Linked DNA regions of Canis lupus familiaris. The protein of the gene in region 2 interacts with the protein of the main gene of each other region in a biochemical or structural test. Links are inferred from orthologs where the notes say so. Each region holds a gene or a part of one and is shown on either strand. Other genes may lie near its edges. The genes, in order: DCUN1D4, UBE2M, DCUN1D5, DCUN1D3, CAND1, RBX1 and NAE1.

What was found.
Region 1: the proteins of UBE2M (region 2) and DCUN1D4 form a complex in vitro, tested with the Homo sapiens proteins (3 studies listed by BioGRID). The link is inferred for Canis lupus familiaris from reciprocal best matches to the Homo sapiens genes UBE2M and DCUN1D4.
Region 3: the proteins of UBE2M (region 2) and DCUN1D5 form a complex in vitro, tested with the Homo sapiens proteins (3 studies listed by BioGRID). The link is inferred for Canis lupus familiaris from reciprocal best matches to the Homo sapiens genes UBE2M and DCUN1D5.
Region 4: the proteins of UBE2M (region 2) and DCUN1D3 form a complex in vitro, tested with the Homo sapiens proteins (4 studies listed by BioGRID and IntAct). The link is inferred for Canis lupus familiaris from reciprocal best matches to the Homo sapiens genes UBE2M and DCUN1D3.
Region 5: the proteins of UBE2M (region 2) and CAND1 form a complex in vitro, tested with the Homo sapiens proteins (2 studies listed by BioGRID). The link is inferred for Canis lupus familiaris from reciprocal best matches to the Homo sapiens genes UBE2M and CAND1.
Region 6: the proteins of UBE2M (region 2) and RBX1 form a complex in vitro, tested with the Homo sapiens proteins (15 studies listed by BioGRID and IntAct, with this or other methods). The link is inferred for Canis lupus familiaris from reciprocal best matches to the Homo sapiens genes UBE2M and RBX1.
Region 7: of the proteins of UBE2M (region 2) and NAE1, one has a biochemical effect on the other in vitro, tested with the Homo sapiens proteins (4 studies listed by BioGRID, with this or other methods). The link is inferred for Canis lupus familiaris from reciprocal best matches to the Homo sapiens genes UBE2M and NAE1.

Annotation. Positions count from the first base shown.
Region 1 is NC_049234.1:45,578,316-45,582,285, forward strand, and holds part of DCUN1D4 (DCN1-like protein 4), read left to right. Parts: intron 1-2,023; coding exon 2,024-2,126; intron 2,127-2,260; coding exon 2,261-2,316; 3' UTR 2,317-3,970. UniProt on the Homo sapiens protein: Contributes to the neddylation of all cullins by transferring NEDD8 from N-terminally acetylated NEDD8-conjugating E2s enzyme to different cullin C-terminal domain-RBX complexes which are necessary for the activation of cullin-RING E3 ubiquitin ligases (CRLs).
Region 2 is NC_049222.1:100,126,043-100,130,634, forward strand, and holds the start of UBE2M (NEDD8-conjugating enzyme Ubc12), read left to right. Parts: upstream 1-1,379; 5' UTR 1,380-1,926; coding exon 1,927-2,035; intron 2,036-3,227; coding exon 3,228-3,322; intron 3,323-3,454; coding exon 3,455-3,493; intron 3,494-3,603; coding exon 3,604-3,707; intron 3,708-3,966; coding exon 3,967-4,030; intron 4,031-4,116; coding exon 4,117-4,257; 3' UTR 4,258-4,592.
Region 3 is NC_049226.1:28,900,504-28,904,473, reverse strand, and holds part of DCUN1D5 (DCN1-like protein 5), read right to left. Parts: intron 1,701-3,970; coding exon 1,592-1,700; intron 1,508-1,591; coding exon 1,403-1,507; intron 1-1,402. UniProt on the Homo sapiens protein: Contributes to the neddylation of all cullins by transferring NEDD8 from N-terminally acetylated NEDD8-conjugating E2s enzyme to different cullin C-terminal domain-RBX complexes which is necessary for the activation of cullin-RING E3 ubiquitin ligases (CRLs).
Region 4 is NC_049227.1:24,694,549-24,699,167, forward strand, and holds the start of DCUN1D3 (DCN1-like protein 3), read left to right. Parts: upstream 1-1,611; 5' UTR 1,612-1,701; coding exon of another isoform or gene 1,702-1,867; exon of another isoform or gene 1,868-2,009; intron 2,010-2,221; exon of another isoform or gene 2,222-2,413; intron 2,414-2,543; exon of another isoform or gene 2,544-2,711; intron 2,712-4,619. Other genes in the region: LYRM1 (LYR motif-containing protein 1), read right to left, coding at 1,750-1,867. UniProt on the Homo sapiens protein: Contributes to the neddylation of all cullins by transferring NEDD8 from N-terminally acetylated NEDD8-conjugating E2s enzyme to different cullin C-terminal domain-RBX complexes and may play a role in the cell cycle progression by regulating the SCF ubiquitin E3 ligase complex, after UV damage.
Region 5 is NC_049231.1:10,026,933-10,030,902, reverse strand, and holds part of CAND1 (cullin-associated NEDD8-dissociated protein 1), read right to left. Parts: intron 2,501-3,970; coding exon 2,208-2,500; intron 762-2,207; coding exon 620-761; intron 289-619; coding exon 1-288. UniProt on the Homo sapiens protein: Key assembly factor of SCF (SKP1-CUL1-F-box protein) E3 ubiquitin ligase complexes that promotes the exchange of the substrate-recognition F-box subunit in SCF complexes, thereby playing a key role in the cellular repertoire of SCF complexes.
Region 6 is NC_049231.1:25,236,001-25,240,409, forward strand, and holds the start of RBX1 (E3 ubiquitin-protein ligase RBX1), read right to left. Parts: upstream 2,848-4,409; 5' UTR 2,766-2,847; coding exon 2,688-2,765; intron 779-2,687; coding exon 700-778; intron 1-699. UniProt on the Homo sapiens protein: E3 ubiquitin ligase component of multiple cullin-RING-based E3 ubiquitin-protein ligase (CRLs) complexes which mediate the ubiquitination and subsequent proteasomal degradation of target proteins, including proteins involved in cell cycle progression, signal transduction, transcription and transcription-coupled nucleotide excision repair.
Region 7 is NC_049226.1:83,061,651-83,065,620, reverse strand, and holds part of NAE1 (NEDD8-activating enzyme E1 regulatory subunit), read right to left. Parts: intron 1,239-3,970; coding exon 1,179-1,238; intron 1,091-1,178; coding exon 957-1,090; intron 1-956. UniProt on the Homo sapiens protein: Regulatory subunit of the dimeric UBA3-NAE1 E1 enzyme. E1 activates NEDD8 by first adenylating its C-terminal glycine residue with ATP, thereafter linking this residue to the side chain of the catalytic cysteine, yielding a NEDD8-UBA3 thioester and free AMP.

The DNA.
Region 1 (3,970 bases), on a different chromosome or scaffold from region 2:
AACCATTTCACGTAACTTTCTGTGTGTTGTCCCCTTCTGCCCGTAGGAATGATGGTGACGTAATCGCTGTCCGTTAGCAGTCACCGGTTTTCTCTGGGTGTGTCTGGGGCGGGGGGTGTATGTGCCACATGGCTTCCCAGTGCAGGCGCATCCGAGACAGCCACAGCTCTGTCCTTTCCTCTCTGTCACCCCACTTTAACAGCTTTCCCTCCGTTAGGATTTCCTGCTCTATACAACGATGAACTTCCACTTTCGTTAAAAGAACAGCCATCTGCCTTCTTACTAAAAGAAGCTTGTCATGTGTTGTTATCCACTCTTGTCCCCGAGAACATGGGGACCTAGGTCAACCTAAGTGTGAGGCAAACTGGCAATATCTCCCTCAGTTTCAGTTTTCCTTCATGTTTGCGATAGAAGAAAATCCAGCACTTCACTGTTGTTGCTTGCTCTAACTATTAATGATCCAAAGTTTTGAGCTGCTGGTTTATCAGGAGCTGGTTTTGATGCCAGGTGATACTGTAGGACCTGGAAATGTCTGAGATGGGAGTTTGAGCTGCTTGGCTTGTCTCGTATCTTGGCATCTTTCTTGCCCTCCAGACCCAAACCCCTTACAAAGCACCCTCTGCCCAGAAGGATGAAGGTGCTGGGTCTTTGAGAAAAGCTTGGGCCCTACCCTGACTCCGGCCTCCCTCTTGCCACCCTCTTTCTTACAATTCACTTGACACACTGGTCCAGAAGAACTTCCAGCTGACCGGATTCTTTGAGGACTGTCACTAAAAATTGCTTTTAGCGTCACTAACCAGGACTCCTCAAGACAAGTCTGGAAACTAGTTTTACTGTACGAGGTGTTTACACGCCAATCCACGTCTACAGATGATCTGTTCTGATTTCTCTGGTTATCCCATGAAACATCAGCTTTCTTTGGAAAATGAGTAGAAATAGGTCCTTGTTCTCAGGGGATAGCAGAAATCTGAGCCCCAGCGAGAGGAGGAATTTTTTTTTTAGCTGAAAGACCTTGCTGTGAGCAAGTCCGACTTTGCACAATTGCAGGAGCATCTTCGGCTGTCTCTGACTGGTGTTTGCTTTGAGTTGCTTAGAGTCAAACTTGTAGTCCGGGCTTTGTTCTCTCTTTTACGTTAGTTTGCTTTTTTTCTTTTCAAAGGACACCGCAGTCCTTTGGTTTGAGCTTCTCTTGCGTCTGTGTCCCCAAACCAGGGGCTCAGCTCTCTTAGTTTTTTTACCTACTCGTGCTATTCCCCGGTGTTGCTGAGTTTTCATGGATAGGATATAAAAACTGTTGAATCTGGGTTTTATTTTTCAGTCTTTATACAGGAATTGTGTACTTTAAAAAAAGTAATGCCTCTGGCATATTTCTTGTCTAAGAGGAATAGGAAAACTACTTCATGGGTCTTCTAATTTATTACTTTGAAGATGAGATTCAGGTTCTGAGTGATTAGAACAGTAACTTTTTTCCAACGGCCAGAGCACCTAGTGCTGAGACCGCCGGGAGCCCTTGGTGAGTTCCCGAAGGGTGCCTCGCTGCTGGGTGTGCTTGACGCTGACAGCTTGACAGGGAGCGTGCTGATCAGGGCAGGGGTTATTAGTGGGAGCTACTCTTTATTTAGCACCTGCTTTCTGCCAAACACTGAATGAAGTACTTTACATAAATTATCTCTTTTAATTCTTACAAGATCTCTATGAAGTAGGCTAATTATCTCTCTCTCTGTGTCTCCTTTTAATAAAAGGGCTTTGGCAGTCTAGAAATTTCACTTCTAGGGATAAAAATCATGTTTCTTTGATGTGCTTGTCATTTTGTGTTGAGCCCTCATGGTATTTTTCTAATGGAAATTGTCATCTTAAGTTCTACTCTTGCTCTCTCTCATCCTTCTCCCAGATTGGTGCTTAGCATACCTCAAATGGAAAGAGTTAACCTTCATGAACTTTATTAAGTTGATTCATACAGCAGTTGAAACCGTGCCATTTGTTAATTGTGTCAGTAATTCATATTACTTTTCCCTCCCATCAGCAATCAAAATATAAAGTTATTAACAAAGACCAGTGGTGCAATGTGCTAGAGTTTAGCAGGACAATTAACCTTGACCTCAGCAACTACGACGAAGATGGAGCGTGTAAGTACCGGCGCTGGGCGCTCTCGCACACGCACCCCCACCCCCACCCCACCCCCATCGCTATACATTCGCACACCCTCCTCACTGGGAAGAGCCTTATAGCCGTGTTTTTTTTTCTCTCTCTCTCTCTTTAGGGCCAGTTTTGTTGGACGAGTTTGTGGAGTGGTATAAAGACAAACAGATGTCCTAGGACTTTATGCATAGCAGCGAGAGAGTCACTGTTACCACAGATATGTCAACCATTAGCCATAAATTGCTGTTTGTATCAAAGCGCATGCTGCTTTTCTTGCACTGTCTCCCTTTTGCAGGGACGTTTTGGTGTTTGCTATTGAATGGGCCAGCTCTGCTTGCTGTGTAGCATTGTTCTCTTGGAAGGCTGCTTTGCAGTTTGTATTTACACTACAGATTGGTGAATTTGCCAACGTCCTCACTGTGATGATGTGTATATTGCTGTTTAAATTTTGTATATGTGTATAAAAAGAAAAAGCTTCACCTAGAGATTATTTCTGCAAAACTGTATTGTAAAAATAATTTTTGTGGCATATTTCTAGTCCCTTTTTTCAGATGAACCGATTATACTTTATTTGGTCTCAAATGTAGCATTTCAGAACACAAGAGAGAACAGCTGTTACCATAAGCAAATGTTGCCAGAATTAACCTCATTGTTAAAGAGGCCAACTTTTGGAAGGAGGTGGGAATCAGAACTTTTCCAGAGGCATATGCCAAATATAATTTGATTTCCTTAAATATGAGCGTTTTTTAAATGATGAAAGTTACAATTATTTGAGCATATAGACTTGTCCCACATGCCACAAATGATTTTCACCACGCAAGGTGTAGGTTTCTATTCTCTGATGTTAAAGCCGTAGTAGTTTGAATATAGGTACAAATGAACAAATTAAAATTGCACCTTTTTTTAAATGAGTTTGAAACTCTCGTAAACTTCCTTTACGGTCTTCTTTTTCCTTTTGCATTCTCCTAGTCAGTGTTGGGTCTGCCGATGCTTCCCGTGCCATTCAAGTAACATTGATTTTGCCTCCTCCGCGGAAACCTAATGGTTTGCTGGCAGTTTGTAACCGCAGAGCACTTTCAGTTGTGGTTTGGATTTTTAGTTAAGCTTTCATGGTGTCTAATTTTCTAATTTTTCGGAAAAAAGAACTATACTGTAAGTGAGAGGTGTTTTCTTTTGTTTTCTTTCTTTCATGCTAGGCTTTTCCTGGCAGGATGTCCATTGCAGGCAGTGGACACGAAACCACCAGCATTGAGCTAACTTTATTACACAGTAGGACCTTTCCTGGAGGGGCCACTCGTCATTCATTACCCGAGTAATTTGTACAGAAAGGTGATAGCCATTATTTATGTGGATGAGGAAACAAGAGTAAACAGGACGGTATTTTTAGGTTTGTATTTTGTGTCTTTTTTTTTTTTTTCCTTGCCTTACCCTTCTTGAGGAAATGTCTAGATAACATGTTTTCCCCTCAACTATCTGGTGCTATTGAATGACTAATTTAGTCCCTAAAGTTTTGTGAAAACATAAAAGTCTAATGATTTAAACCAAGTAAAAAGCTAATGGTGCATTTGAACAAGTGAATGCTGTAGGTGTGAGCAAGACCCATGATGGAATAATGATTGGAAGAGGTTCGGCTTACTGCAAAATCTGGCCAAAAAAATCTTTCGGATTAAATGTGAACCTTTAAATGGCATTAAATGAGTAAAGCACACAGACAATGCTACTCCTGACCACTATTTCACAGTTTCTTTGCAAACAGTGTTCAGATTTTCATATTATTTTTTTCCCCTAACTGAACCACCAAAGACAGAAAATTTTGTATGTATATACGGTG
Region 2 (4,592 bases):
GAACCGAAAGAACACTGAGATGGCTGCAATGTCAACCCCAAACTTGAGCTGTTTGATGCTTCTGAGTCCCAGTTCTCATCCTGGGACCTCTCTAGCACTTAACTCTCAAAGGAGTCAAGAAAGGATGCTGGAAATGCAAGGCTAGAATAACAGGACAACCAGAAGAATGAAAGGAGTGTGGGAGATGGTGGCATTGTGAATGGAAGGGCCTAAAGAGGTAGCAGTTGCAGAGACACGGCTGCGATCAGTCCGTGGAGCCCAGGGACCTCAGTGGTACCCGAAGACCCACAGGGTAGGGCCTCTAAGGAGGCTAGGGCCAGCCCAAGATACGAAAAGGTGGAGGTGACTTCCTGAAGCGAGGATACGTGTCGAGATGGACGCCAGGTCGGGTCTGAGGAGGCGCAGGGCATGGAACGGCCACTCCCCCGAGGGGAGGACTGCGAGCCTGGGCAGAGGTCGACGGCTGAGAGGACCCCGTGAGCACCCCTGCCCAGCCCCAGCGCTGGCTCAACCGGACCGCCAAAACTACTTGTTCCACAACGCTCCAGGTGATGACGGCAGGTGGCCTCAGAGACAGACGGGGACGTACAGCGGGAGCCGCACTGGGTCGCAGAGGTGCTGAGAGACTGAGCACCGGCCGCACCCACCCACTGAGCGCGGTGCCGCGCTGCACACCCGCCCGACCGTTTCCATGGCGACAGCCGGACGTCATAGAACCGCCCCACGCCGCGTCCTCCCGCCCTCCGAGGCACGCTGAGCTGTGTGCGATCGTTGTGGAGGCTGGCCACACAGCGGAAGATCGCAAAGCGTGTCCGCTGGGTCTCGGGACCTGCTCCGAGAGGGTCCCCGCCCCACGTCCCATCTAGTGTCCACCCATGTAATCTCCCAAAGTGCTTACCACTAGCACAATACGCGTTTTATTTACTAGTTTACCTCATCCAGAATCTCCGCGAGCCAGTTGCTTTTGCGATGGGACATCGAGGTTGCTCGACCCCGCACTCTCTGAGTAAAGGCTATGGCCTCTCCGGGCTCTGGCCCGCCGTGATCACCTTGCCTCTGTGACCTCCAGGGGCAAGGACCTCATGTGACCCACCCCCACCACAATCTGCAAGGGTGGGCTGCCTACGAAGTGACCATCAACTGCCCTACTTAAAGATGGCGGTGGCACCGCCATTGACTGGACCCGCGAGCGTCCCCGGAAATGACCGCGGGACAGGCGGCACAAACGGAAATACCCGAGTCCAGCCGAAAAAGTCCGAATATTAAGACCTATTGCTGAGCAACGCGGGGCGGGGGTGGCGGCGGCCGTGGCGGCGGCGGCGGCAGCGGCGGCGGCCGCGGCGGCCGCGGCGGCTGCTGCTTCTGCGCAGGCGCATAGCGCAGGCCGGGCGAGAAGAGCCGAAGAGTGCAAGCGGCGGAAATATCCGAAGCGGTGGGGCGCCCGAGGCCGTTGCGGACCTCTGCGCCGAAGCCGCTGCTGCCGCGGAAGCCGAGCCTTTCTAGTACACGGCAGCCGCCACCGCGGCCGCCGCCTCCTCCTTCCCCTCGAGCCGCAGCCCCTCGCGGTGGGAGCAAGTGAACAGACAAGCGGCGCGGCCGCAGCTGGGCCTGAGGGGACCTAAGCTGGCGAGGGGGAGGAGGAAGCGGCTGGCTGGGGGCGGGGCCGAGCGGGCCCGAGAATAGCCGAGTCGGCCCGAGCGCCGCCGAGCGAGCCCGAGGCGCCGGGCCAGGCCAGAGCCGGACTACGGGAGCCGACGCGGGCCGCGCGGTGGGCGCGGAGCGGCGCGGCAGGCCGGGCGGGCGGCAGCAGCAGCGGAGGAGGCCGCGAAGGCGGGTTCGAGTGGCGGAGGCGGCGCAGGCGGCGGCAGGGGGCCGGGTGGCCGGGGTCCCGGGCCCCGCAGCGGCGGCAGCGGCGGCGGCGGCAGGATGATCAAGCTGTTCTCGCTGAAGCAGCAGAAGAAGGAGGAGGAGTCGGCGGGCGGCACCAAGGGCAGCAGCAAGAAGGCGTCGGCTGCGCAGCTGCGGATCCAGAAGGGTAGGGGGTCGGGGGATGGGGGTGGGGGTCGGAAGTCAGCGGCTGGGATGGGGTGATGTAGGAGTCTGGAGTGAGTTAATGCAGTCACCGGGGGGTCAGAGATGTCAGAGATGTGGCCGCAAATGTGGAGGTAGGAGGTTAGGGCCTGGGTTTCGGTGTGATGGGGGATCAGGGGTGAGTAATGCAGTCACCGAGGGGTCAGAGATGGGGGGCCGAATGTGGGGCACTTACAAGACTCGGAAAGCCAGGCATCTTGCATTGGGGACCAAGAATCAGAGAGTCAGGCAATGGAAGGCGAGTAGGAACCTGGGGACTCCACAGAGTATGAGAACATGGGTGATAGGCAGAGGAGATTGGATAGTGGGGGCCAAGGATTGGAGATAGGAGTAGGAGAGGATTTAGTGAAGTATATTGGGGTCATTGGGAATCAGAGTGAGATGGAGTGAAGTAAGTTTTGGGCACTGCGATTTGTGGGTCTGGGGGGGTCACATGGCAATTTGGGGTTTGGGGTGACACGTGGAGGAGGGAAGAACAGTGTGTGCTGGGGACTGGAGATGGGGGTAGGGTTAATTTAGACTAACATGCTGGGTGCTGGGAATCTTAGAGGCAATGTTTAGAGGGGGTACAGGAATGGGAATTCACATGTCTGAGGGTTGGATGGGTACCTGAATTTAGGATGACAAGCAGAGGAGAGGAGGGATGGTGGGGACGGCATTGGTTAGGGGCAGGGTCCTTGGATTTGGGTGGTCAGGTGGGGACCAGCAGTGTCTACTAGAAAATGGAGGTCATGGCCGGGGATCCTGGTGTTTGGGGTAGTTGTAGGCTCTTGGGGGGCCACACAGGGGTGGGAGTATTTGGGGGCTGGGGGGTTGGGTACGCAGCTGCTGGACGCTGAGACTTTAGGCTGTGGATTCGGAAGAGTTGGAACTTATCCCGGGCCGGGAGCTAGAGCATAACCACAGTTTACAATTCATGTTTGAGTTGTGCTGTGGATCTAGAAGAGCCTGCCTGGAGACTAGAAAGCAGAAAGAGTAGGGAGAGGGTTGGGGGTGTGGGGCACAGCCCAGGACAGAGCCCTGAGGGTCCTGGAGGAGGCCATGGGTGCTCTCCTGGCACCTGCACCTCCGAATGCCCTTGTCTTTCCATCTCCCTTTCCCTCTCATCGTTCCCCTTCTTTGCTATGCAAACCCAGACATAAACGAGCTAAACCTGCCCAAGACGTGTGACATCAGCTTCTCAGATCCAGACGATCTCCTCAACTTCAAGCTGGTTATCTGTCCTGATGAGGTAAGGGTACACTTAGTTGGACTCTGAGGCATGGGCCAAGGGGTCTGGGAGAGCACTTTGAGTTGGGAGACTTAGTTTACCTGCCAGGCGCTGCAGGATGATGTCCTAACACTTTCTTCTTTCTCTTTGCAGGGCTTCTACAAGAGTGGGAAGTTTGTATTCAGTTTTAAGGTGAGTCCCAGGTGGGCAGGGATACCTCCGTGGCTGAGGAGGCAACAGCTGAGGCCCCAGCCAGGCACTGCTGGGGCACTTTTCTATCTTCTCTCCCTTCTTGGAGCCAGGTGGGCCAGGGTTACCCACATGACCCCCCCAAGGTGAAGTGTGAGACGATGGTCTATCACCCCAACATTGACCTTGAGGGCAATGTCTGCCTCAACATCCTCAGGTGAGGGCTGTGACTTTGGATTGCACAAGTCTCTGTCCCTTCCTTCCCTATTGTGGTCTGTGGTCCTCTGTCTTCATCTCCATGTTTTCTTCCTCAAGTCTTGACCTTAGCTTTCTCCCTGGCCTGTCCTGCTGTGCGCCCTCCTCCTAGCCTCTCACATCTGCACTGTCCCGTGCCCTGGAGCTGACTTGTTCAGTCCCAGCAGGCTCTGTGTTGGCCATCCACTCACCAGCCCCTGACCTTGATTCTCCCTCCACAGAGAGGACTGGAAGCCAGTCCTTACGATAAACTCCATAATTTATGGCCTGCAGTATCTCTTCTTGGTGAGTAGGGGTAGGTGGGGAAGGCTGGGGAAGGTTGGCCCTTTCTGCTTTAAGGGCCTGTTGACCCCCACCTATACCGGCCACAGGAGCCCAACCCCGAAGACCCACTGAACAAGGAGGCCGCCGAGGTCCTGCAGAACAACCGGCGGCTGTTTGAGCAGAATGTGCAGCGCTCCATGCGGGGTGGCTATATCGGCTCCACCTACTTCGAGCGCTGCCTGAAATAGGGTTTGCGCACACCCACCCCTGCCAGGGCCACCAGCCCCGGCGTCCCCTGCAAATATTTATTGGGGGCCACAGGTGGGGGGCATGGGTGGCCGGTGGGGGAATCCCATGCCCTGACCTTGCCTCCCCTCCCTGCCACCCGCTCCTAGTTATTATTTTTTTTTTAAACCACCATGTGATTAAGGTCGGCGCTGCCTCCGACCCACTCAGCAATGGGAAATGAATTGGCTTGTCTAGCCCCCAGCTGGGTGCTGTCCAGCCCCCCACTCTGGGCTCTGGGGTGGGTGGCCAAGGGGACTGGGTGGCTGGGGCTCGGGCACCCTACCCCTCCACCACT
Region 3 (3,970 bases), on a different chromosome or scaffold from region 2:
AAATCTGATGTCTACCCATGTATATACCTATGTAAACAACCCTGGAATCAAGATCTATGATGTATATGACACACATTAAGCTCCCTCATGCTGCTGCCCAGAACATCACTTCTTCGATAAAATTTACTGTTTAACCACATTTTGAAGTTGACATCTTTGCAGGCTGTGGAAAGAGTACTGGCTTGGGTTCAAACCCCACTTCTCTACTTACGTGAGGGACCCTGGGAACACTGTTTAACAACAGAGCCCATTTTTTCATTTGCTGAAGGAGGTTAATGCATAATTTGAAACAGCATTATAAAGATTTTAAGAAACACTGTTGGTCAAACACCCTCCACATAACAAGTGTTAAAAAATATTTAGTTCTCTCAGCTTCCTTAGAGGTGAATACTTTTACACTCAGTTCTATTTATTTTTGTCCCAAACAACTAACAAGGAAGATTGATAACATCCATCAAAAATATGTTTTACTAGCCTTCATTACGCCCACTTTATTAGGCTTAAAGATGTAAATAAATGTACATGAAACCCATTCACTTAAGTCCTTTCCATATCACTGCTTCTTATCAGAAGCTTCAAACAAAGTTACTCTGAGGAATGTGCTAGGATAATCAGCTTTATGAGGTATCATTTTCAAAGCAAAAAGCAAAAGCATCTGTAATTCAAGAAAACCCCTAAAATCAAAAGGGCACAAAAACAGACAGAGAGTCAAAGAAATGCAAATGAAAAAAGAACATTATCTTTGAACCACTGCCGGCAGTGGGTGCTGTGTTAAACTTTCTAAAAGAATACTTTCTCCATGAAGTCAGTATACATTCTTTACTCATCAGTACATTCAAGTACAGGATTATAGCCATTCTCATATTTGTGAACATAAAATATTTTAATTCTAATTATTTAGATTGAACCTAAGTGAAAAGGAGAGTTTATTACTACAACTGGTTCCCTTATGAAGATTTCAGCTTATGATCTTGTATTAAAGAAACCTGATTTAGAAGTTTGAAATTTGTACACTAGCATCTCTCTTCTGCCCAAAACCCAAGAAACTAATTTTTCATGAAGAGTGTCTTTGCTAAAATGTATTTCTTGAAGGTTACTTGCTTTTTTTATGGGGGGGATGCAGGGCTAGAATTGAAGTATCTCACTACAGACTATATTGATGAACATGAACTTGCATCTAAAAATAACAATCTCTCTCTCTCTCTATATATATATATACATACATACACACACACATTTTAACAGAAACTTTTTACTAAAGTAGATTTTTTTAAAAGCACAGGATCCAAAGATCTATTTTGTTTCTCCTCAATCAAAAGGTATAGTTTCCATCAGATTGAGCTTTAAAATTAAAATTTAGTATTAATCAGATTAATATTTTCAAAAAACAAAACATACATACCTCCAAGTACTGGTAAAATACTGAAAACAATGGCCATGTCCTTCCAAGCAGAAGAGCTAGCATAGACTTAGCAGTATCAATATCAAGGCTTCTCTGATCTTTATCCTAAAATACAAGGAAAAATTCTTCTAAGTGTGGTTTCAAGATTAAATAAAGGTTAAAATTACAAAATATGGAAATTCCACCTACCCTTGCAAAATCAAAGGCATATCTGTAGATATTCTTAAACGAAGAAATATCATTTAACTGTGAGCGCAAAAAGTCAAATTTGTTCTGTAACTTTTCTGTGCAGTCACACCTTAAATTAAAAAAACCAAATACATTATACGATCTAGAAAATTAATAAAAGCATCTTTAAGGGGTTAGAAGAATGCATTAAGAAAAAAGTGAGTGCATTCATTAAATTAACCTAGGTTTAAAATTCTGATTCACAAACTTAGAGTTATTAACTAATTGCCTTGTATCTACCAATGGAATTAAAAGAAAAAAAAAACAGAGAAAACCTGGCAATCAATGAAATTTCAGTTAAATGATTTTCCTTTAAAAAAAATACAATTTAATGAAAAGCTCCAGCAAAATCACAAATACCTCTTGAGACATATAAAAATGTGCTTTAACCACACGTAAGGTTTAAAAAGATGGCAGAACAAAGGAAATTAATCAGGCCTCTGTCACATATTTCACTGGAAAGTTCTCAAGCACCAGGCTGGTGAAAAGAGATTAGTCATGAGTGGTTTTAAAAGTTTGGGATAGGGATGCTTGGGTGGATCAGTCAGTTGAGCATCTGTCTGCAGTTCAGGTCATGATCCTGGGGTCCTGAGATCAAGCCCCACAATGGGCTCCCTGCTCAGTGGGAAGTCTGCTTCTCCCTCTGCCTTCCCCCACTCACGCTCTCTCTCGCGTTCACTCTCAAATAAATAAGTAAAATCTTTAAAAATTAAAAAAAAAGTCTGGGATATAACACAGGGAAAATTAACACATTAGTGCTTCAGTCATAGATTCAGATTCCTACATTTTTAGTAACAAAAATCAAAGTAAATATTTAGTGGCAGTACCTGACCTCAAATTAGGTACATAGACGAATGAGTACCAACAAGTTATCCATGTTATTTCTAAAGATAAGATACCAAACATAAAAAAGCAAACAGATTTCTCAAAGATCTTCACTGGCATTCTGACTCACTGGGCTGACAGATGCTCCAATGTTGAGCAAGCAGCAGAGTGGAGGACACCTTTCACAAATGGCACACAACTCATCTCATCCCCTGCCAGGTCCCCATACTTGTCATGCTCTAGCTCACCTACCCCTCACAAATGCCACAGCTATGCTTTAGCGCATATTACTGCCTCTACCTGAGGTGTGTTCCCTCCAACATTTTCACAAAATATCACTAGCCAAAACCTAACTCACATTTTGCCATCACGGACAGACCATTGGACTCCCTTCCATTAAATCAGGGTCCATCTACTGTGACCCACAATATCCTACTCAAATCTGAGTTTCAGTACTTATCACGTAGCAGACATCTAGCATGCTTAGATTTAACTGAGACCTTCACTATTCTAAATCCATATGACATGTGATTCATAATTTTATTAAGGTGTAAATATTCTGGATAAATTTCTAAAGTTGATTAAACTTTGTATTCCTAGAATAAGCCAAACTGGGTAATGCTACCTGTTTCATATATTGCTAGATTTTTGGCTATGTTCATAAAAGAGATGGGCTTGTAAATTTCATTCTTTCACACCCTCTTTACTAATTTTGATAACAAACTCATAGCACAAACCTCAGAAAAGTGAAATAATGTACCGTTTTTTTGTTTTCTGAAAGTTTACTGAATACTAGAATTAGCATTTGTCCAAAATTTGTCCAAAAGCAGCTGAGAAACCACCTAGGTCTTTTCACCTTGGGAAGGAATTTTTAACCACTCAATCAGCATTTTTAATGGTTATAGGACCATTCAGATTTTCTATTTCTTTTTGAATTAACTGATCATGGATATAGTTTTCTGAGAATTTATTTCACATATAATTTTATTTAAAGATGATTATGTTTATAACATTTTCTAATATACATTACTGTTTATTTATGCTTTTTGTTTTTCTTAATCATCTTGCCAGAATTTCTTAACAGCTTTGCTTTCTGTTTTACTAATATCTGAACATCTTCTTCTCTCTTTCTTCAGGTTGATCCTTTCTCTAACTTCTTAAATCACATATTAGTTCATGGGGATGAAGGGGTTTTTTTTTCTTTTAGTGTAACAGGCTACAGATTTTCTTCTAAGTACAGTTTTAACTTCTACCACAGTTCTGATGAATACGGATTCTCCACTTATCACTGATGCCTCACAAGATGATTTCAGAGGTGTAGAAGAGATAAGATACTAGGTTTAAGAGTCTGAGAAGAGAGGGGGGACACTAAGCAAGGGTGACCCTTGAACAACACAGGTCTGAACTGTACAGATCCACTTACAGATGGAATCTGTTTTAGAACATTTTCTTTTCTCTAGTTTACTTTACTGCAAGAGTATAGCATGTAATACCTTTAACATAAAAAAATAGGTG
Region 4 (4,619 bases), on a different chromosome or scaffold from region 2:
AGTTTGCAATCTCTAATTTAGCCCAACCCCTCCAGCTCAAAGAAAAAGACCTTATCCAAGGCCACTGCTGGTCAGAAACAGATCCAAGATTGAAACCCAGGCCTTCTCATACTTCTGATATCCTTTCTAGATTTTACGAGATTAACCATATCTAGATTGTGGCTGACAGTTGGCAGCAGCAGTGGGACAAAAGCCCCTTTGTTAGAGTTGTTGAAGTCCATGGCTGCTATCTTATGAATAGTGTTCCTACCTAGCCATAACTACACAGTGGGCCCTATGGGCAAAGCTCTGTACCAGGAGCCAGAAGGACGCAAAGAAGAAATAGCCCGTGGGGGAGTCAGACATATGAACAATTAACAAGCAAAGTCAGCCTTGCTGTAATGGACACAAATCACCTGCGCACAAGTCCAAAAGCACTGACAGCTGGGGTTGGAAGGGAAGGAAGAGATTTGAGCCAGGGCTTAGAGGATGAATAGAAGCTGGATAGTGGGTGGATGAGTCTCACTGATTATGAGAGTCTCATTATTGCGGGATATTAAGGGAGCCTTCTTTTATCTCTGAGGCCTTATCTGTGTCAAGGGTCTCCTTTCAATTGTTTTCCCCTTAGGAGTCATCCTTGGTCCCTCCTCCTCCCGTACACTTCACTACCCAATCCAGCAGCAAGTCTTGCAAGCTCTATTTCCAAAATGCATTCCGAATTTAATAATCTGCATTTCCACTGCCACTACCCATCTCTCCCTGGGCCTGGGGCAGCAGCCTCCTAACAGGTCTGACAACTTTCTACCCTACTCTAGCCAGCAGCCGAGTGATTTTTTTTTTTTTTTTAATGTAAATCAGGTCACTCCCCTTCTCAAAACCCTCAGGTAACACAACAGCCAAACCTTAACCTTGGGCATTTAGCTGTGCATGATCAGGCCCTCCCACTTCTCCATCACAGACCACTCCAGCCCGTGTTCTTTCAGTTCCAGCCACCTGGCTTTCCCGCCGTTTCCCTCCTCAGGACCCTTCCTGTTGGCTCTCTTCTCCATCTAGAAAAGTCCACTCCCTAGCTTCTCTCCTTTCACGCATCTCCGTGGAACTCTGGCCTTATCTGAAAAGCCTCACCCCACCTGGAGTGGCCTTCCTCCCACCTCCTACCGCTTCACACCCCGTATTATGGTCTTAGGGGGGCATGTCGTACTTGCTGATATCTCCTTACTGACTGACATTTTAACTTTCTCCCGGACTCCAATAAACAGTCACGGAGCAAGGCCTCCGTCTCGTTCTCGTTCGCGGACCGAAGCCGTTTAAGAAGCAGGTTCTCACTACCGTCCTAGGAAGCCTCCGTGGCCTCTACGGGACCTCGTTTGGGTCAACCTTCCCCAGCTTGACGCCTCTCGCCCCCGGAATTGCCCCTACTGATCTCACATTTACATTCGGGGATCCAAAGGATTCAGGAAAAGTCTCTGTTGGGCCCCAAACCGGCATCTCAGCTGTTCGCCAAACAGGCCTCCGCTTCCTGGCCCTCGGGCCGCTTCCCCCGGCGGGGTCCCGAGGCCGGTGGCGAGGACAGAGAGCCGCCCTCGCGAGGCTGGGGTCACACAAGCGCGTCTCCTAGCAACGTCGCACCCCCGCCCCCAGCCCATCCCTGCCCCTGGGGAGTCAACCCCTTCCCCCAAGTCTCCCGCGCCAGGAGTCAGCGTCTCCATCCCCTACACTCACTCTGCGTCAGGCCTGCCTTCCCCCACCCACAGAAGCGCCGCAGCCTACCGCGGGCTAGGAGGAGGCGGCGCCGGGAGCCTTGCTGAGCCGCGGCCGACGCTGGTCGGGCAGGTCCGGTAGGCCAGGCCGGACTAAACCACCGGGGGGGGGCCCTCCGTGGAACCATTAGTTCCAGGTCAGGGATGGTCTCAAGTCTCCCTGAAACTTCATACTCTAGCCCACCCTCCGCCGTATACCCAACAGTATAGCCAACTTCATCGTCTCCCTAGTTTCTCTTTACCCCTTTTCGCTATCCTCCCCCACCCCCACTCTAGCCAAAAAATGATCCAGTCCAACTCCTCCCAGCCCTCCCTCCGCGTCGCTAGTTCTTTGCCCTTACTTGGCGACGGCTTCGTACGTCCGTGCGTACGTCGTGACGCAATCTTCCACCCGTTCCTCCCCGCCCCTCTTCTATTCTCTCCCTCCCGGAGCGGGCGGCCTGCGGGGTTACCGGAAGTGATGATGCAGGAGGCGATGGAGGGGGCGGGGCTTGGGGGCGGCCGCCGCCGGTGGGCCGCAGATGAAGAGGAGGCGGCGGCAGTGGTGGAAGAAGAGGCGGCGGCGGCGCGGGTAGGGATCCTGGAAACGCGAGCGGGGATGGTAGGTGGTTTGGACCCGCCGGGCCGCCGTCGTTTCCAGAAAGGGTTTGACTGGAGGAACCTCTGGAGCAGCTGTGAGTTTTGGGGGGGGGTTAAGGAAAAGCGGGGAGCATTGAGAGATGAAGGGGCGGGGGTTGGGTACCTTCGAGAAAAGGGGGTGGAAGGGGAGGAGTGGAAATCAGCGCCTTGTCTGGACTGGTCCTTTTGGAAGAAGAGGCTGTGAGGGGAGCCTGTGGCGTGTCAGCTGCAGGGCGCAAGAAAACTTGCCTACTGTCCCTGCCTCGCCACCGCCAGCACCCCTCAACCCAGGCCTGGGGATCTGGGGGCTGGAACAGCCCTGGAGAGGGTGTCGACTCTGGTCCTATGGCCCGGGTAAGCTCTGTGAGGTAGGAGTCCAAGCGGGAGGTGGTGGGTGAATCTCCGGCTCCCTCCTCCCTCATTTTCCTCCCCACCCCCATCCTTCCCTTTAATCATTAACAGCCCTGGAATTAAGGGGCTCAGACCTGAAGGCCTTTCTGTGCACCTTTGCTATAAACGATAACCATCTGTGCCTGAGGTAATGGGGCTGGAAGCTTTGCCTGTATCCTGTGTAGGAAGTGGGACGGGGTGACAATGTATTGTTTTTTATTTTTTTCCATTCCCCTTTCCCCCTTATCTTTCCTCATATACACCCCTCGTTTCCACCTCAGTTCTCTGTGGCTACGTGGTAATCCTGGTGTTTTTTTTTTTTTTTTTCTTTTCCTTTATGGCACTTGGTACCTTGGTTACCTCTTTTGAATTTGGTGTTCAGCCTCTCCCAGATCTTCCTGCAAGCTTTGTAATACTTCAGTTACAGGCTATGTCACATTGGGAGTACCTCTCAATGCCTGGTAGCTCCAAATTAAGATGAGCATTTTCTCCTATGAATACTGGGATTCCAAAGCCCTTGCAAGGATTCCTAAATGGCATCATAGCCCAGGAATCAAAGTCTCTTGTTCTAAATACTTTGTGTGTGAGGAATTTACATGTTGTCAACTCTTTCCAAAATGATTTGATGTTAGGCTAATTCTGGATTTCTGTGTTTCTCTCCACCCACACTTCATGATGCACTTCAGAGAACAGAAAACCCCATATTACTTTTTTGTTTCTGCAATTGGACAATAGCTCTTTTATCTTTTTCTCTATTCACACAAGTCTTCAGTGACACTTTTGGCTTGTGCTGATTTCTGTCTTATGCTCTCATTTATTTAGCTGATTCTTTGTGTATAGACGGACTTAAATGAGAAAATGTGATTTGTTTAAAAAAAAAAGTACAAACCAATAACAAAAATTATTTGAAGAAAGCAGAGAATGACTGGAAAGAAGATCTCTATTGATGTTCTGTGGGTTTCAAAAAAAAAAAAAAGTCACCAAGTAGTCCTCTTTTAGCTTGTTGTAGGAATTTCAGAGTGAAATGTAATGGTTCCTATTTTGATGTTGATATTTTCTTTGGTAGTCCTCTGTTGAATGCGGAACTGTGTTTTCTGAAGAGCTTTAAGAAATAGTGCCTACATTTTAGAGGTCCTTTGGTTAGAAAGTGTCCATAACTCCTGGGCCTCTATAACTGAATTTATGATGCGTATTGCTAGAAGAATTATAACGGATCCCATCCTACTCATCAGGGCTTTCAGGCCTGATAAAACGATGTTTAATGCTTTGATTATACAAGTAACAACATCATGTTTAGATGTTTCACAGAACTGTAACAAAAGAAAAGAATGAGTACTATTCTCACCTTAATTGATTTGGAACCATTGAATATAAAGTCAAAAATTCATTCATTCAACAAGCATTATTGATTAGCTAGTAAGAGCTAGCCAGTATTTTGGGCTGTGGTTGACAAAGGTGAATGCAGGCATAAGGTCTGAACTCTTATGGCGCTTATACTGTAGTGTGTGGGGCAGAATAAATAAGCGAATCAGACTTTGCTAAGTGCTGAAGTACAGGGATATGACAAAACATGTCTAATCGGGATGCAGTCAAAGAAGACCTTTTTAAGGAGGTGACCCTTAAGTTGAGCTTTGAATAAAAAGAAGCCGGACATGCAGATATATGGGAGGAGCCTTCCAGGTTCCTGGGACTAGCTAGTGCAGAAACTGGCAGGAATGACTCTGGCAAGTTCTAGGGCTTGGGAAGAAAGGGGTGAGGTGGAGGAGGGGGAGGGTAGAGAGGTGAGGGAGAATGGGAAAGGGGAGTAACAGCCAGAGCCTCGTGAACAAAAAGGAAATGAAAAGTTTAGGTCAGAGAGGTGGAGGCTGGGCT
Region 5 (3,970 bases), on a different chromosome or scaffold from region 2:
TCTTAATGGTACAGGTAAATAGATCTTTGATATAAGGAGTTGCATCAAACGAGGAAGGCTGATCTAAAGGACGAATTACTTTGACAAGCTGTTGGGTAACAAGAAGTGCTTCAGATGTAATCTTGTAAAATGGGTCTCCAACACAAGCCACCACTGGAGGAACCAAAGCCTGAACGTGAGGATGGAAGACTTGAGGAGAGTGGTTACAAAGGATTACATACAGACACGACAAAGCATCAATCTTCAAATTTGATGAGCTTGATTTGTCATTCAGTGAGAAAATGATTCCTAAAAAAGTCAATGAGAAAAGTCCAATAATTTTTAGGTAGTTCTAGGAAAGAAAAAATTAAAAACTAATCCCTAAAATATTACTAAAGTTTCCGTTTCATCAAACTACCTCTAAAATAATAGAAACTCCATAATCTATAACTGTCAGTGCCAAAAATTTTAAGACTAGACTTTTTACTTGAAAATTTCTAACTTCAGGTGTTTAAAACGGTTTTTACGTGCAAATTAAGTTGTACAAGTTACCTTTTTGAAGGAAATGATTGTTTAAAGCTTATCAAAGACTTAATAAAGTCTGTAGTAAATCCCTAAAGTGATTAACTATTTTTCATACCTGGTACAAGTACAGGAATGTGTTGCGTTAGCGCCCCAGGTAGTACATTTACCAGTTCAGTTAACATGTTAAAACAACACTGTCGGGTCTTCACACTTTTTTCTTTCATCTGTTTGTGCAGAGCTTTAACAATGTTGGGAACCTGTAATTATCACACACTTATTAGCTGGTTCAGCTACTGGTATTTCCTCGGTACACTTAACATAAATTATCAGGGATGGGGAGAGAGGGAAGAATTTAACATGACCGTTTGATACAAATTTTGTTGTACCTATTACAACATGTGGTCTCTTGTAACTCTATCTGCTTTATACTGATAATAGAGAAAAGCCATCATTAACTTTCTACAGAGCAAGAAGTTTTCCTTGATTAATATTTAATTATGAAATACACAAGACTAAATAGAAATCAAACCAAATAATAGCACAGATATGCATTAAAAGAAAAGTGACAAATTATGGAGAAGAAACCATTAAATTGGGTCTTTGTCTTAGCTTTTAGTTTGCTCTCACAGTGAAATAGATCTCACTTCAAATACAAGCAGCAAGGTTATGATTCAAAGACACCTGCTTCTAAACTTTCTAACGTCTTGTTAGTTGGTAAAACCAAAACTGAGTTATTTATACTAATCTTACGGTATGTGTCTGTATGTATCCTCACACCCATATCAGATAGTGATCTGAGAGCTAGAGACAAAACCACCTAATTCATCACTTCATCAGAATTGCCCATGTTTTGCAGAACAATCTACCACAACCCTTGAATTGCCCATGTTTTTACCTGACTTCTATACCCTTTTCTCATTTCCTTCTACAATTAATTTTCAATGTTCACCTTTAAGTTCACCATGACTTTTCTGTTGTTAATTTGTACTATTTGAAAGCAAGACAAATATGTACATCTCCCCCGGGTTAGTTGTTCATTCCTCCCCAACATCTGTTTCTGTAATTTATAAAAATGAACAAATACATACGCCATGGGGCTGCTGTAGGGATTATATTTAAGATAGGAAAATGCCTAGCAGGCACTAAATATTCAATACATAGGAGCTATAGAGCTCTAATCGTTAGAATCTTAGAAAAGATGTACTAAAGCAAAAAATATCTATGCCAGTTGTTATTAATAAAATACATAAGTACTTACTATGTAATAGGCACCACACTAAATGTTTACATAGATCATCTCATTTCTCACTACCATGGGTAGGCTGTTCTAATAAACCATTATTACAAATGAGAAAAGTGAGGTTTAATAAAATGACTAACTTGTCCAAGATCACACCAGCTAAATTAGGAGTGAAGCAAGGTATGAACACAAATAGTGTGACTCCGCAGCTCTAAGATTTCTGTTAACACCAAAGATAATTTTACTGAATCTTAAAATTATTATCTAGTAAAATCAAAATACTTCAAATCAGAATAAACTATTTACAAGTAACATAGTATGAATGTACATAAACTACTACGTAAACATATCCTAGAAGTTTGCTCTTCCGAGGATGTTCTGGGACTTCAATTTCCATATAAAAAAAACAATTTTAAAATTTTGTAGTTACAGGCATGACTTTCAACCATACTTTTAAACTGACCTGACTCTGAAGCATGGTTAAGGGTGTTTCTCCCTGCTCCATGGCATCGGGGTCACATAGCCAACTTTGTACAGGACGAGTTTGCTTCAAAAGAGAAAGGTATGCATGAAAAACATCTGCCTTTACATTCTCTTCACGCTCTTTAAATCTGGATATCAGTGCAGGGGAGACAGTCTTGTAGAATTCTGGAAGCATTTCATGCCTTGTGCTAACTACAGCGTCCAAGCACTTGGCAGCTGCACGTCTCACTTTCCAACTCATGTCATCGTCGTCACTGTATTCATCATCACTCCCTAAAGAGAAGTTTTAATGTTAACAGGCTATTAATCATGGAAAAAGTTTATTGTTTAATAGAGAAAGTGAACAGATACTCAAACTCAGTTTTAAGATTTTTCACTAACATACAGCAATAGAGAAGCTTTAAAAGAACAAGGACTTAAGACTATACAAATTTACACATAAATTAACCTCTGAAGAAAAGAATCAAAAAAAAAAAAAAAAAAGAAAAGAAAAGAATCACAACTGTTTTAAACTTGTTAACCATCTTCTCACTTATGTGGGTAATGAGTAGCTTATCAGTCTTTATGATTAATTAATTTATAAAGAAGTTTCATGTATATTTGTAAAATTTTAAGTGTCCCAGCCTTTTAAACAATTATGACTAGAATTTCAAAGAACTCATCTAATACCACAGGAAAATCAAACAATCAAGGAGTTAATAAGATAAATCAAGAAATAATAAGACTGTGACTACAGATGAGGTGTTTAAAAAAAAGCACAGCTATCAATCCCAGGACATGCTGGGGAGAAAATCCTGACATGAGCTTTCCTTATGGCTAAAAGGGTTTTCACTAAATTTGTTGATGGGCTATTAGAAAAAACTAGGTGTATTTTTAACCTTTCAAGATACTCTCTTAAGGTAGTATAAAGAAACTATACTTCCTCAATCACAAATAAATTCTTTTAACAACAAAGCACCATGTAAAAAGAGAGCCCATCTTCTCCAAATTCCTGTGAATCCTTAGAACAATGTTCCAACACTACTGACTCCATCTTATTTACGTTAACTTTCATTGTGTGTGAAACCTCTGAAAATTATTTCCTTCTACCGCCATAAGGCTGAATCAGCTGGGTAGTAACAAAGTCAGGGGGATGGCAAAAATATTAGCAGTTCTCAGGATGGTCTAAAATTATCTAACAATAATTTTGGTGTTCTTAGGTAAGATTATAGTCCTGAAATGCAGATTCCTCACTGGAGGAAAAAGATGTCATCTCTTCGCTGGCTTATATTCTACTTAGCTTAGTGACAGCTAAACGTAGCTATCTATGCCTTAGAAAAATCCTAGGATTATGTAATAAAATTTTCCATTCTCCAGAAGGTTTACTTAATTTCATCCTAGCATATTACAGGAAAACCCAACCAAATACTTACTAAACCCAACACATTTGACTTATACAAGGTACTATATCAAAATGGACTATTTAAAAGCAAATAGTTGGGATCCCTGGGTGGCTCAGCAGTTTAGCGCCCGCCTTTGGCCCAGGGCACGATCCTGGAGTCCCGGGATCGAGTCCCATGTCGGGCTCCTGGCATGGAGCCTGCTTCTCCCTCCTATGTCTCTGCCTGCCCCTCTCTCTCTCTCTCTCTCTCTCTCGTAAGTAAATAAATAAATAAATAAATGAATGCAAATAGTTTTTCCCATGGCAACCCAACTATGGGAATTATTTTGCAAAAATATACTTAAGTGAAAAAAAGGACTATT
Region 6 (4,409 bases), on a different chromosome or scaffold from region 2:
ACTCTACAAAGCTGAAATTTCTTCATCTCATATCTGATCTCTGTAACAAACCATTTCAGTACCTGGAAGAAAAAGTAACCTCAGCTGTTCCTGGTGTGATCAACATACTTGCCCCTATTACTATAAGGACACGGAGTCCACGGATAGCTATAATCAAACCCACCATATACTGGCTACTATATGGGATGGAATCTGTAGATTTAAATGAAACTTCTTTACTGCAATTAGTTGTCTATTTAGATGCTGGCACCGATGTCCTCTTAACTTAGGGGCTAACACTGAAATTCCTTACTTCTTTGGCTTCTTTTCTTTATAAATCTTGCCAAGCAAAAACTAGCTTTGGTAGAATATTTTAGCTCAAAGTTTATTTTTTTTTTTTCCTTTCACTATTTTTGCCTTTGAGTCTGGGTATGAGATGGGAAATATAGAGGAATAATCAACAGTGCCTCTGTGTCCACAACTCATTCTAAATGTGTGCTTGCCATCTTTAGACTGAGTAGATTTATTCTGAGAGATGAGTATGTCTCCAGGATATCATTAAATCTACTCTATTTCAAACATACCAACGGACTAGAGGCAGAAGACACCAAGTGTTCTGACTATGCTTTATATCTCCTTGGGAAGAAATTTGGTCACATCAGAATAGCCACAATCTCTGTAACCTTCTCAACTTCCTCCCATCCACCTCCAGTTACTTACAAAGATCCATAATGTGGTTCCTGCAGATGGCACAGTTATCAACCACAATATCCCAGGCCCAGAGAGCTACTGCATTCCACTGCAAAGAGAAAAAGGGGGAACAATGCACTCTCCTTGTAACACAGGCGTACACACACTCTAGGATTTCATGCTGCAGCTACAGTTATCATCTCTTTGGCCACAAGGACCACCAGACACAGGAGCTTGGGGATATTACCTTACTCTTATTCATTTTATCAGAGGGCAACAGCAGACTACAAGTGTGCTCACCCATTTTCCAAAAGGCTGAGTATATGAACATAAATTAATGAATCCTCTTTATTTTCTCCTACAGCTTACAATAATTTAGTCAACTGTATCAATGTAAGAAAACCGGGAATAATTTTTGAGAGCCTGTTTTAGGCTTAATAAGCACAAATTTGAATTTCTGCAAAGGTAAATATACGCTCTTCAAGGCAGCTGTGAAGGTATGAGTGGGGAGGTGAAAGCTGGGGACAGAATGAACTAAGATGATGATTGGATCATAAAATGGGTAATCGTGGGATAAGCTGGATAACTAATTATCCAGTGTCAGTACAGAGCAAGGTCATCACTTAAATCTCACAAGATTATTTCACAACAAATTCTAGAATTCACTAAAATTTTGGTTAGTTCCTTCCATCAAATAAACTGGTGTTCTAAACTTTTACAAGCTCAGGCTCCTATTTAGTTCAGATAATTCCACTTAAGAGTTCATTTAAAAGCGGTATTTAAGTAATTCAACCTTTCTGGCTTCTGCAATTATAAATATCCCCAAACTCCCTTTTCATCCACCAATTTGGTGCCACTTCCAAAACCTTCATCTCTTTCGAACGCAATTCCCCGTCTAGTTAAACTTCTTTAGCACTTTCCGACAGCTTCAACTTGAACGGGGGAAAAAAAAAAAAAAACACAACAAAACCCTATTTCTATTCTTCAATATGGCTGCTGGCTGTAACTGAGCATGCAGTGCCCACAATGAAACACCAAAAAAGCACTAGGAGGGGGGAATATTGTCAGTGTTTAGCCAGATGTTCCAGGAATAACATTTCCCCTATTTGAGTCTTCATTTTGAACAGATTTATTTTATATCATGTGAGAATCGGCACTTTCCTCCCAAACTGTTGGCAAACCACTATAAAGCAGTTCATGCAAAAAGACACGTTCCACATTTTTGCTTTCCCACAGTCACCAGGTCGTTCGCCACTAGTACTCAACCCTTCCTAAATGACACAAGGTTTGGGCTCGCATTTTCTTTTTAACAAATTCCACCATGCTTTCCCCCCCCCCCCCCCCTTTTCCTTTTTGGACAGAGGGATTCTGGAAACGAGCACAGGACTGTGGAGGCTGTGTGACAAACCAACAGACCTCTCAGAAGAGCCAAGAGTTGTTACACTGGAGACACTTTAACTCGGCGGGGGCGAGGACTAGAGAGAGGGCTGAGGGAGGCCTCGAGGAGGCGAGGACCAGGCTGGGGTCCCTCAGAGTCAGAGGGACCCCGAGCTTCGGGAAGGGGCGGGGCAAGGAGATCACCAGCCGGGCTCCTCAAAGGCCTCCACTGCGGTAGGAACTCAGGTCCCGGCTTTCGCCGCACTGCCCCCATCCTCCACCCACCGCAGCGCTCCGACTCCCCCTTCCATCCACCCCACCCACTCCTCCCCACCCCTCCACCACTCCAGTGACAGCTCAGGCGCTTGGCTCCCTCAGCCAAGTCTCAACCCCGCGCATCTCAACAAGCGCCTCTGTGATTGGCCCCTCAGACTCCTAGTGAAACCAATACTGCCATTGGTAGTGGGCCCCAGTCACGCCGATCAACTCTAAGACCCGCCCCCCAGCTTCCTTTCCTGGTACCCGGTCCCAGGAACGCCCTGAAATGAAGCCCTTTCCTCCGCGCCTCGGTCATCCTCGGGCCTGCCAGCCAGATCCGCGCCTCTCTAGCCTCTCTGAGGAAGGCGCTGGCGAGACCCAACCTTTTTCACTTCAAAGCGCTTCTTGCCCGCGCCGCTGTTGGTGCCGCTCGGGGTATCCACATCCATCGCTGCCGCCATTTTGGAAACACACGGTCCGTCGTCCGGCCACTGCGCCTGCGCACCAGCGCACGCCTCGCTCCCCCTCCCGGCCCGGCACCTCCTCTCGCACCCCGCCCCTTACTGGCGCGCGAGGGGCAGGTGGGGGCGGAGCACGTGGCCACGCCTCTTAAAGGCGCTGGCGCAGGTCCCTCCCTCCTCCTTCCTGCCGCCGGCCCCCGAGTCGGCTGGGGAAGAGGCGGTGGCCGGGGCGGGGCCGGGCGGGGCCGAGCCGACGTGCTCGAACCGGGTGGAAACGCTCGAAAGACTAGTCTCCTCCCGCGGGAAGCCCCCGGCCGCGCTCCCTCGGCTGGGGCGGCGGCTGCTTCCTCCGCCTCGGCCGCGACCTGCCGCCCCGGCCCCGCCCCGCCTTCCCCGCTGCCGCACCGCTCCAGCGCCGGCGGGTCTTCCGCAGCGTTCCGCCCGGGGAGCGGCCAGGGCGGGCGCCCCGCCTCCTGCAGCCGAAACCGGAGACCCCGCAGTGTCGCGGGTCTCGGCTCGCTTCCGAGCCAGGCCCGACGTGCAGCCTCGCTGGGAAAGCCGGGCCCAGGCGCCGTTAGGTCCCTGATTCCGATTCGGGAAATGCTCGGGATTCGACAGGGAGCCGGGAGCTCCCCGAATGTCCTCTCCAGGGCCCAGCCGCGTAGGCATTCTCCCGTCCTGCCTCAACCTGCCCACCTGGAGCCTCGGGGATGCCGCCGCCCGCCCGCCCCAAACGCCATCCGTGCTAGAATGCCCTTTGGTTAAGGCGCAGGGTTTCAGTTTCACATACTCTTAACACACCTTTCCTGTTCCTCAGTTGGCCACCTAACTGTGGGGGTCCCCTCTCCCTGATCTCCATCCTCTTCCCGCTCCTTGCGCCGTGGGCACACTGCAGTCCTACTTGACTTTGTGTGAGGCGTTTGGCCATTGATTCTTACTGGTCGTTCCCAGCCAAAGCACCTGTACTTCATGTCTGCACCCGGAACCCCTTGTGGCTCTCTAACCCTGCAGAGGTATGACTCGGCTAGATCACTCCTAAATCTCGTATTGGCTTATTTGGAATCTCGTATTTTCTCTTGAAAGAAAATTGGAGCATAATGGAGTGTATGGACTCCACTGCCAAACCGGAAGAACTGCGATTTGTTTCCTTGCCTTAGTCATAAACAGGAACAACAAATCCATGAAAACACCACCAGGGCTTACACCAGACTTGGAAAGAGAAAAATTGTGTGAGACCTTAAAACGTTACAGGAACCCTACAAAGTTTTCCTTAGCCCAAATTTTGTTAGAGTGATAATTCCATGTTAAGATTCTTGTCATCTAATTGATTGTGTTCCCAAAGGCCCCTACGGGATACTAAAAACCCATAGTAAGTTAACGTATTAAGTGTATATTTAACCTTCATTAAACAAATTCATTGAGTATGTATGAGATCGTGTTATAAATTGGAGAGACACGGTGATGAACAAATTCCTGGTAGAGAAATAATACACAAGTAAGCAAATACATTGGGGAGGAAAAAAAACCATCCTCAGGTATCAATAAGTGCTATTAAGAAGACAAAAAGATATCATGAAATTGAAGGGAGAATTGTGTGTGATTAGGTAAGGTCTCTATGAGGAGTGACATTGCAGCTGAAGTCCT
Region 7 (3,970 bases), on a different chromosome or scaffold from region 2:
CTAAAAACTTCAAAGTTTTAAGTTACAGATAAAAGTTCCTATAGGGCCATGATTAAGAGTATAGAGCTGGGGAGTACAATCTGTTGAGTGTCTGACTCTTGGATTCAGCTCAGGTCATGATCTTGGGGTCATGGGATTGAGCCTTGTGTCAGGGCCCACCCAGGGCCTCAACCTCTGCACTCAGTGGGGAGTCTGCTTGAGGTTCTCCCTCTCTCTCTGCCCCATTCCCCCCTCCCTAAAAACAAATAAATCTTTTTATTTTTATTATTTAAAAAGATTTAATTTATTTATTTGAGAGAGAGAGAAAGCACATAGGGAGAGTTGAGGGAGAAGCAGACTCCCCGCTAAACAGAGAGCCCAAGGTGGGGCTCAATCCCAGGACCCTGAGATCATGACCTGAGCTGAAGGCAGATGCCCAACTACATGAGCCACCCAGGCACCCCAATAAGTAAATCTTAATAAAAAAAAAATAAAAAAAAAAAAAGGAGTATAGAGCTGGGTTTCATGGATTCAAATCCTGGTTCTGCCATTTCCCAGCTATTTGACTGAATAAATTACCTTTTCGATGTTTCAGTTTCTTCATCTATAAAACTGGGATAATTATCATCTCTCTCATAGAGTTGTTGTAAACAGTAAATCGGTTAATACATAGGGTGGTTCATAGCAAAGAGTTAAGTGCTCAAGTATTAGGTTTTTATCATGAAATATGAAAAAAAAAATCTGCCCCCTAGTCAGTACATGGGAACTCAGTACTTTCTGCTCAATTTTGCTGTAAACGTAAAACTACTCCAAAAGTAAAATCTATTTTAAAAAATCTGCCCACTAAGTTTTTTAGCTTATTTTTAAAGAAACTGTGACCGGCTTGCATTTGAATTCCATTAGAGTGGTAAAATATGTTCATCTGTACTATAAACAGGTCAATTTTTCAGTAACATAGTTTGAAAACAGTGACTTACACATTTTGCAGCTTTATATATTTGCTTGAATCTGCGATCATATCAGGAATTGTGCCTCGAACAGGTAAATTTCCTTGACCCTCTTTGGCCACAAATTCCTTTAAGGCACGAGCTAAAATCCAAAATGATGGAGTCTAAAAGATTAAGGAAAAAAATTAGTATTAAGTGGCATCTGAATTTGACCCAAAGGTTAAGAGGGCACTATTTACTTTTGGTTGTTACCTGTTTGGTGATATTTATGCAGTGATCATCATTAAATATATCTTCAATACTGCTTGGGATCTAACAAAGGAACACAAAACATTTACTTATTCTAAGAATGTGCCCATCTATATTTTCAGTATTTCCCCAAATAAGTTCTTTGAATTGCTACATTCTAATCAAATACAAACTTCTGATGTGCTTAGACTTTAAAAAAAAATTTTATTTATTTGAGAGAAAGAGAAAGGCAGCACACAAGTGGGATGAGGGGAAGAGGCAGAGGGAGAAGGTAAAGCAGACTCCCCCGAGAACAGAGCCCCACTCGAGATCCCAGGATCCTCCGACCCTAAGATCATGACCTGAGCCAAAAGCAGACACTTAACTGACTGAGCCACCCAGATGCCCCTGTGCTTAGACTTTTATTGAGAATCAGTACTAGACAGAGATTTGAAGAGATAAGAGAGAATGGAAGGAAGTCCTTTCCTGCCCACTGTTGACACCATTAAAGACTGACCTGTTCTCTTCCATCATACATGGAGTAAAAAAAGAGTCAAAGTAAATCTTTCCATATAGTTACATTTGAAGATATAACAAAGATTTCAGACATTACTAGTAAGCTAGATTTGTAGTCCTTCGTGTGTCTCCATCTTGTCAAAAATTTGCAACCCTTACACCCTAAGTTAGTAACTATTGGAGACAACAACTCTGAAAAAAACTAAATAGTTAAATAAGTACTTCTAATGCTGGCAAAATCATCATGCATTAATAACAACTACAGAAGTTGTAGGCTTTGATTCTACAGCTGTGAGGAAAAAAGAAATTTCTTACTGGTAACCCTAACTGGTCTCTCTGCTTCTGCTTCCAGTTCCCCATGGTCTATTCTCTTCGCAAGAGCCCGAATGACTTTTTAGAAATATAAATCAGGTCACTCCGCTCCTTGCTCAAAACATCTCAACAGCCCCCTCCTGATCCTAGAACTCCTCATCCTCATGCTCTACCCCTCTGCTCTGCTCAGCTCAAATTTTGTTGATAGCACCTGGTATATTTATCTGTTTTCTAAGCTTACTAATAAAAAAAAAGTTCTTAGGAGAACTTTTTTTTCTTTTAAATCAGGGTAAATTTTACATTCAGTGAAATCAATCTTAAAGGTATAGCTTGATGCATTTTGATTACTATGCATGTCCTTCTAATCATCACCTCAATTAAGATACTATAGAAAATTTTCATCACCCCAGAAAACTGACAAAGAATACACTTTTAATTATTCACAACACTACCTCATCGTCTCCAAAAAGTTTGTAATGACAGCTGATGTGCTTTCTTAATGTGAAAGGCAGCATTTTTTACCATTTTAAATTATAAAAATATTCTTTTTTAAAACTTTACTTTTTTTTTTAAGATTTTATTAATTTATTCATGAGAGACAGAGAGAGGCAGAGACACAGGCAGAGGGAGAAGCAGGCTCCATGCAAGGAGCTTGACATGGGACTTGATCCCGGGTCTCCAGGATCACACCCTGGGCTGAAGGCGGCACTAACATGCTGAGCCACCCAGGCTGCCCATAAAAAGATTCTTATCTTAAAATACCAGTTGTGGGAACACCTGGGTGGCTCAGCAGTTGAGCATCCGCTTTCAGCCCAGGACGTGATCCTGGAGACCCGGGATCAAGTCCCATGTCAGGCTCCTTGCATGGAGCCTGCTTCTCCCTCTGCCTGTGTCTCTGCCTCTCTCTCTCTGTGTCTCTCATGAATAAATTAATAAAGTCTTAAAAAAAAAAAAAACAGTTGTGTTATTGAAATTTCCCAAAAACTTCACTGGTAAGACTGTAACAACAAAACAAAGGGCATCTAAACTGAGTCATCCTCCAAATAATATTTTACAACTTCATTAAGAACATCCTACATTTAGGGCAGCCCCGGTGGCTCAGCGGTTTAGCGCCGCCTGAAGCCTGGGGTGTGATCCTGGAGACCCTGGATCAAGTCCCACATCGGGCTACCTGCATGGAGCCTGCTTCTCCCTCTGCCTGTGTCTCTGCCTCTCTCTCTGGGTGTGTCTCTCATGAATGAATAAATAAAATTCTTAAAAAAAAAAAAAAAAAAAGAACATCCTACATTAAAAAAAAAAAAAAAAAAAAAAAAAAAGAACATTATAGCCAAACAACTACTGTCACGAGAAAATGCAGGGTAAGATTTAACTTTCAGGCAGTACTATTTTGGGCCAGCAAAATATCACCCTCATTATATAATTCCTACACCCAAACTGTGACTATTCACAAATCATGTACTTCAAATAATTTATATAAATATTTATTTTTTAGGGCAGCCCGGGTGGCTCAGCGGTTTAGCACTGCCTTCAGCCCAGGGCCTGATCCTGGAGACCTGGGATCAAGTCCCATGTCAGGCTCCCTGCATGGAGCCTGCTTCTCCCTCTGCCTGTGTCTCTGCCTCCCTCTCTCTCTGTCTCTCATGAATGAATAAATAAAATGTTTAAAAAAAAATTTATATAAATAAAAAAATAACACTATTATATGCTGAAGCACTGACATCCATTTTAACAAGGATGATGCAGAGTCTTTTTAAAATAAGATTCAATCCATATTATAAATATTAATTTCTAACAACTTTACAATTTAGGAAATATTTACTTAAATCTAAAATCAAGGTACCTGGATGGCTCAGTCAGTTAAGGACTAAACTTGGGATTTCAGATCAGATCATGATCTCAGGGTCACAAGATGGAGCCTGGCATCAGGCTCCACAATCAGCAAGGAGTCAGCTTGGGATTCTCTCCCTCTTCTTCTCCCCAGTGCTGCG